Xenopus tropicalis: one gene and its partner. Each later gene encodes a partner of the first gene's protein in a complex. Links are inferred from orthologs where the notes say so. Each region holds a gene or a part of one and is shown on either strand. Other genes may lie near its edges.

The links. The genes of interacting proteins can lie anywhere in the genome.
Region 2: the proteins of prkaa2 (region 1) and prkab1 are in contact, whole or in part, in a crystal structure (PDB 8BIK), measured with the Homo sapiens proteins. The link is inferred for Xenopus tropicalis from reciprocal best matches to the Homo sapiens genes PRKAA2 and PRKAB1. Residues at the interface, in NP_006243.2 of Homo sapiens: Gly9, Val11, Lys12, Ile13, Thr21, Lys29, Lys31, Asn48, Arg49, Arg53, Asp56, Val58, Ile61, Lys62, Ile65, Gln66, Lys69, Val82, Ile83, Ser84, Thr85, Pro86, Thr87, Asp88, Phe89, Phe90, Met134, Met164, Ser165, Asp166; in NP_006244.2 of Homo sapiens: Pro79, Thr80, Val81, Arg83, Thr106, Ser108, Asn111, Val113, Ile115, Gln154, Val155, Asp159, Phe160, Glu161, Val162, Phe163, Ala165, Leu166, Asp169, Ser170, Lys172, Cys173, Pro186, Tyr187, His188, Gln189, Glu190, Pro191, Tyr192, Ala202.

What each region holds. Positions count from the first base shown.
Region 1 is NC_030680.2:87,573,778-87,577,277, forward strand, and holds part of prkaa2 (5'-AMP-activated protein kinase catalytic subunit alpha-2), read right to left. Parts: intron 3,039-3,500; coding exon 2,894-3,038; intron 1,486-2,893; coding exon 1,398-1,485; intron 64-1,397; coding exon 1-63. UniProt on the Homo sapiens protein: Catalytic subunit of AMP-activated protein kinase (AMPK), an energy sensor protein kinase that plays a key role in regulating cellular energy metabolism.
Region 2 is NC_030677.2:151,375,224-151,379,420, forward strand, and holds the start of prkab1 (5'-AMP-activated protein kinase subunit beta-1), read left to right. Parts: upstream 1-1,397; 5' UTR 1,398-1,493; coding exon 1,494-1,637; intron 1,638-4,197. UniProt on the Homo sapiens protein: Non-catalytic subunit of AMP-activated protein kinase (AMPK), an energy sensor protein kinase that plays a key role in regulating cellular energy metabolism.

The sequences.
Region 1 (3,500 bases):
CAGAGAAGAGCATAGAGTATCACTCCACAGCTCCAGATATCAACCTCAGGACCTGCATACAATCTACACAGAAAGGTAGAACAGACAATATAATACACTACAATTGGAAATAGGTTAAAAGCATGGTATTACATTTAAATGCATTATGAAGGGCCAAATAAGAATAACTCATTCTCCCAATACAGTCTCACAACTTGAAGCGTAACAAAATCCCTCATAAACCTTGAAAATTGTCTCTCAAAGGCACCCATCTTTTCAACAGATAGTCTGAATGTACTGATAAGCATTTGAGCATGCCCACTTGTCTATCCCTGCTCTCCCACCTGATATCATACTAATACCTAGCATAGTGTATGTGTGTACGAGGAAAACTGAAGTCACTTGTTCCAATATTCAGGCAGGAGGTTTGCTAAACTGAAAGGAATGTGGTTTAAAGGCATAACTTATGCTACATAGTTAATTTGGGTTAAAAAGACAAAAGTTCAACCCCTCCAAATAACTCACAGTGCATATACATATAGAGAGACCTATTAATATACTCAAATATATAAAAATATACACATAACTAAATGTAGATCTTAAGATCACTATAGACTTGGATATTATGCTTGGACAAAAAGTCACCCAAGTCACAGAATATGCCATCACAGCATCACCTGCGGGGGTTTTTCACAAGCTCACAAACCTTACAGTGCAGAACCTTTTGCTGCTCAAATAAAAGTTTTGTTTTTTTTTAACTGAGGGCTGCTGTATATGAGAAACAGGGCAGCCCTTTATAAATAAATCACTGGTTGCCTGCAGCCTTAGTTGCCCTTAAAGCAACTCTGAAACCTTTTTTATAAAACAAGCAGTGTATAATAGTGCAAGAAAATAGTGTTTTTCCTCATTTTATCCGACTGAAAGTAACTTGGAAGGATGCTATTAGTAGATGCCCTTTATCCCCTCTGGAGCTAGGGTAGCAGGTGGCTCTGGTGTTTGGACTGGCACCAGAAGATACCAATGTAGGTGCTGAAGCAGACGCCATCCAGTAATGGCAGTCAAAACACAAGTTCTGCCCACTGCCACATTTACATTGATATCCACAAGAAAGGCAAGCTTCTACCAAAAGGACCACCATCATGGCACAAAATTGTAGCTAATAATTAATGAAAAAAAAACAAGCAAAAAAATACAAATAAAAATGATGTACATTATGTACCTTACATGTTTATTTTATGATGGCATGTGCTGCTGGCATTTATAAACTGCAGTTAGAATTCCTTTAATAGCAAATTCTACCTATCAATGCTAAATTAATGCTGCACCCCTTAGCGCCATATAATGACGTGACTAAGCAACTTCAACAGGCTGTATTGCATAAGTTATTCACGGATTTTGTGTATAGTAAAATACTTTACCTTCCCGATATGACTTCCGGTGCTGCATAATTAGGTGAACCACAACTGGTCCGCAGGAATTCCCCATCTGACATCATGTTGGATAATCCTATGAGAAACAATTTCCAAGATAAGTTATAGAGGTGTGATCACTTACCTTACATTATACAACATATATGCATTTTGTTGGTTGCAGCATGAGTGAGCGTGTGAAACAACTGGAAAGAATCAGAATATCAAATGAAATACAAGTATGGCATCTGTTATTCCGAAAGCTCTGACTTTATGGGAAGGCTATCCCCCATAGACTCAATAAACAATTGACATTTTTAAAATTGATTTCCTATTTCTCTGTAATAATACAGTACCCTGTACTTGATCCCAACTCAGATATAATTAATGCTTGACAATGCATTATACTTCTCCAAATATGGAAGGAATGCACTTAAAAAATGTTTCGGACTGATTTACTGAGATATTCCCCTCAAACCCTACTAGTCCCACCCATCTGTGGCCACTTCCTGCTGCCTCCTTTCCCAAGCTGAGCAGGGGAGCTGGTTGCACTCAGCACTCTAGGATAGGAACCAATCAGCAGCTAACCTGACTAAATAGGAAACTGAAGTCTGTCTTTGCTTGTGTGACTGCAAGGTTATGATTATCCCCCACATACTGATGCTCTGGCAGTACACAACCACCCCTTGTTTGAAACACAGACTGGGACCAGGGAGGATCTATAAGAAGCTCCAGTAAAGAGGTCATTTTTACAGATGGTATTAGTTTTTAGCCCAAAGTAAAACTAGCATCATAATGCATATTATTCATAACTGCCTCCAAGATTAGGGGGGGGTGGTCATTTATCCTATATGTTTCCTTTAAGGCACAGAGGTTCAAATGACAGAAATAATCCTTATCAGGAAAACCCCAGGTCCCAAGCATTCTGGATAACAGGTCCTATACCTGTATTACAAACTACCTGTAAATGCACATTTTATCAGCTTTAAAAAATAACAAAGTTTGCATACTTGCAATGAAATGTACTTTAACATTTTCAAAAACTTGCAAATATATATTTGTCATAGGTATTATTTGGCAGTTTTCCCTACAATTTGCCTTGTTTTATTTACACACACAGAGACCCATTGGGCACTAGCCATAACAATTCCTTTGCAAGGTCATGTAATGAGATTATTGCAAAATATGCACAACTAGTTATGCTGGCCAATAATAGATAACTGTGCTGCTTCAGGAATGGCTATCTTTATAACAAGGGTATGTTTAATTTCTTTGCTGTGTTCCTACAGCAAATGTATTGCTCTCTATAAGGTTAGACTACAAAACAAATTTATAAAATAAATTCTCTTTCAACAATGGGCAGTTTTTCCAACTAATAACAAAAGAATTTTAACTGAAATTGCAGAGTTCTACATCCCTGCACAGCTAATGATTGTATACTGACAACCTTCAACAAATGACCTGTTTGCTGGCTACATTCTTAGAATGTTTGGGAAGTCACATACCAAAATCAGCTATCTTGGCATTCATGTGTGCATCAAGCAGCACATTCTCTGGTTTCAGATCGCGGTGAACCACCATATGTCTGTGACAGTAATCTACAGCAGAAATGATCTGTTGAAAAAGGCGTCTTGCCTCTGCTTCTTCAACCTACAACAGATAAAGCCAATGAATTGCACTGGATTTCCTAATAAGGTTGTTAGTTACAGTCAAGAAAAAACATATTTGTTTAAACTTTACAGATACGTTGGTTTAAAGGCACTTTTCTGTCATCTTAATCATTATACCAATGAAAAAGGTAACATATAAGCATTATCCATTTTATAGTCAGGTATCAGCAGTTTGCCACTGGTATATAATTTTGATCGTGCTTTCTCACTCATCACGATACACACAATTTAGATGTCTGACATCTGGATTCCCTAGGTTTGGAATTACATTTTCCAAACCACACAAAACTGATAGTGTGCTATGACAGTCCGCTGAGAAAAATACATTTACAAGGGAAGAGAAACAAGAACATGACACTCAAGTCTACTATGTTTTTTTTTTAGTTCAACTAGGAAAAATCTAAACAGATCAGAATGTTTAATAGCTTGAAAAAATAGGGTG
Region 2 (4,197 bases), on another chromosome or scaffold:
TTATGCCAGTGTAATTAAGCCTTAGTACCTAGATAAATTCCATGCCCTAAGGTTACAAAACTAAAAATTAATAAAAAAAATAAACAAAAAGCAAATAAAATATGAAGACCAGGTACAAATTGCATTAGAAGTTAGTTATCTGTACCAAGTTTTTTGCGGGACAGTCCCTCTTTTGACAGCTCAACCCGCAGTCCTGGATTCTTACTGAAAAGTCCCTCGTTTCCCTTTGATCTACTGCACCGAAGCTAAAAATGATACAAATTTAATTAAAAAATGACTTTTGACAAAGAGCCCAGAAAAGTAAAAAGCCCCCCCACCCTGCACTGAGATACCATTGAAACTAATAAGCTAAACAGGTCTCTTGGGGGAACTGAGACTTGCTGCTTAAAGGGCAACTTCACCTTTTTCAGCAAAACTGTAATAATACATAAAAATAGACCCCAAAACCCCCAGAAATGTGTTAACTTTGAATAGTAAAATGGGCATGCCAAATGTAATAAAATGGGAGTGGTATTTAGGGGGTGTGGTTGCAAAAATGGGTGTGTTCAAAAAGATTTGCCGCACTGTGAGCAGTGTCCCTCTTTCTGGTCTCAAGATGTTGGGAGGTATGCTAATGTGGCAAATCTATTGGCAGTAAAATGCCAAAAAGAGACCCAGACTCCAGACTCCTCGTTTTAAAAGGGAACTACTTCCCCCCCAGGCAACTTTTAAGCCTTTGATACAGTGCTACACTAACTCCACCTCCCCCACAGCCCCAAATGTATCTGATCATCTAATCACCTGTACAAGTATCAGATCCAGGAGCATGTGCATGGTCTACTACTGGCCCAGTGTGCATGTTACTGTTAGTTATAAGTTAGAAAACCAAAAATGTGCAAATGTGCAGGCACTAGCCCTGCTACACAGCTTTGCACCCCAGGAGCTGCTATGGAAGTACAGATACATTTGGCAGTGGCACTGTTGGTGTCATGAAGTCTTTCTTACTTTTCTCCTACAACTGTTTAAACTGTAGTTTTAGTTTAATTATTATTAATAATAATAATAATCATTTGACATTATGCAGTAACCCATAGCAACCAATAAGATTTTTGTTTTTAAACAGGCTACTTGCTGGTTGATTGCTATATGCAATTAATTAGATATAGTGCAGCTTTTTACTACCCAACCTCTCAATCTCATAGCAGTGTCAATATTCTTATAACCCTTTTTAATATTGTATACTTTTCCTACATCTGCAAACAACGACCCCAGTAGAGGAATTCCAATTCCAACTATACGCAGATATTAATTGGCACCTATCCCTTTATTGTCACTGATATCACTGACAGATAGCTGGAAAAGGAGTAATGGAAAAAAACAGATCGAACGTCATGTGCGACAACGAGTCTTTGAACGCAATATCGTCACATCCGCAGCAGGAAGCGGAAGCGGCGTGATAAACAAAGTCCTTTCTGGAGGTTTAAAGAGCGATACCTGCTCGTAAAGTGTGGAATATGGGGAACACAAGCAGTGAACGTCCCGGTCCCCACAAGGTGCGAAGAGATAGCACCGGAGCAGTGTCGAAAGGGGATGACAGAGCCAAAATACTGATGGACAGTCCTGAGGATGCGGATATGTTCCCTGCGGAGGAGAGTAAGGTAGAGAAGCGGCTCGTCCTGCAGCCATGTCCCTGCGAAACATCGTCCTGGATTAGTACAGGACAAGTTTAGGCTTAGTCCGACCTATGTCAGATCAACAAGTTTTCACTCATAAAGTGACCATGATACAATCTTTTAATACTAAAGTGTAATTGCTTCCTACACCAGCCTGTTGCTATTGGTTCTGTCACCCAGTATCTTGTCTCTCTTCTTGTCCACATAAATGGCAAAAGGAAATTCAAAAAGAGTTGCACAGTACCGCCCAGCAGTGGTGAAAAGGGTACATCACAGTAGTGATATTCTCTTCTCTGATTGGGGCAAATTTGTATAAACACAGGGCCAATTTGCACCGTGGCAACCAGTAAGAATTCTACTTTCAGACTTGAAAAATAAAATTGCTGATTAGTTGCTATGGGTTACTGCCCATGTGCAAATCTCCCCATTGACTTTAAATGAGCCCCATTATGTCTTAGAGAGTTATAAGGCAGATCATTAACAAGTAATGCTCTGGGAACTGGGTTGAGTTGCATATGCCCCAGGCCCTCAGAAAGGGTTAATAGCCAGGAGCAGAAAAGTTGAGCAAGCATCATGTGAACAGGTGTAGTAAAAGCAACAAGTCATGTATGTAAAATGTGTATATGCACAGGCTGAGAAATAGCTCCTCTGCTGGCTGCACCCAGTGGCACCGCTGACCTGGCTGTAGATGCATGGTGCATTTAGGCGTTACATGAATACATGAGTATACATTTCCAGTGACCTGTCTTTCTCCTGAGACAAGAGGTCCTCTGCGCTCACCCAGTATTCAAATATAAATATATATGATGGACATTAGGACATTATGTGCATTAAACTATTAAATAATGTCCTCTTCTTAAAGAAAAAACAGGAATTGTTTGACTGTATATTCCAGGTAAAGATACCTCCTGTATGAATCTTGTGTTTACAGCCTCATTGCACGCCCAATAAATGTTTTAAAATTTAGTGGTGAACACAACTTTCCCTTTTTTCCTCTGTGTCTCCACGCACTGTAGTCTTGCTGCTGCTGGTACTACTAAAAAACATTTTCTGTAGAGAATGAATAGTATATGGGTGTGTAACAACACACTAAGTACTAAGTCCACTGCATGAATTAAGAGCGGGTGGAGGTGTAACCAAACTACATAAACCAATAATAAACAATCCAGTATTTGTCCATCCTTGGCAGAGAAGTTTTACTGTCTGCACCCAACACTTCATCAAGTAAATTGGGGATTCTGTGTAGCACCTTTATTTAACCATCATGTCCCCACACTATAGGCTTTCATTGAATTCTTTAACCAGACATTGCTATTCTGTTTCTTAGTTGCTTAGTAAAATGAAGAGAGGTTGATGGGTAACATTAGAATGGGGTAAGGCTTCTTCTTTGGTAGCTCAGTGGTTAGCTATGCAGCCTGGCCTCTCAGAGTTCCTGAGTTTGATTCCGACATGGGCGGGTGCTCCAGTTTCTTTATACAGTCAGGTTAATGTGCTCCTGGTGACATTGAACCTGCTGGGTGTAAAAGTGGTAGGAAAGTTAGATTGTAAGCTCCAGTGGAGCAGGAACTGACGTGAGCAATTAGCAAGCTATGTAAAGCTTTGTGTAAATGTGTCAGTGCTATGTAAGTAAAAGATAAAATAAAAATGAATGGTGATTGCCTGCAGCTTGGGACTATGTGGTGTAGAGAAAGTAAATAACGGAGAGCAGCTATCTGATAGGGGACAAGATGCTGATAAAGACTGAGCTGGAACTGGTATTTTACAGAACTACTTTTCTTGGTTACATATTTATATTAACTTTAACCAGAAATTCTTAACCCATGTGTGCCCATTGATTTTTAGCAAGGATCAGCATGATGTCAGAGATTTTCCATGAGGTTCAGTATACATGCCTTGTGCAGCTGCCTATAGGGCCTTCTCATGGATATTCATCAGCCGAAGCAGAGGCACAAGTTCATGGCCTTTTATTAAGTAGATGTACTGTATAAATCATTTGCCCTGGGTACAGTGTAGAAAGTTGATAGTGCCTTAATTCATGCAATAAATGTCAAAACCATATTTAGTGGGTATTACGGACTTGAATAGTGATCATTGGGAGAAATGTTAAGTAAATACATAAATATGGGCATGGCTGTATCAGTTGGTTTATTCTGCTGAAGACTTTATTATAGACCAAAAGTATTTAGGTTTGTTCCCATAGATCACAGTGAGCATGTACTGCAGGAATAGAAACAACCTTTACTCATATTTGTCAGTCAAGTGGTATTTCAGTACTCCTGTTAATTGAGGATATTAGAGTCTTATAGAGACACATGGTTCCTTAGTGCTTCTCTGAGCATATCTGATATTTCATTTAATTCCCAGCTGTTTTCTAGATATTTATATAATCTTTAGCTCGGCTCCATGTGACTGTCTGCCACTGCACCCCAGGCAAACTCCTGCAGCTCTGCACAACTATCTATGTCTGTAAGGATTATGCGATCCTTGCCTCAACTTGTTTGAACCTGCCTCAATGTTTTAACCTGCCCGATTTTAAGCCAGATAT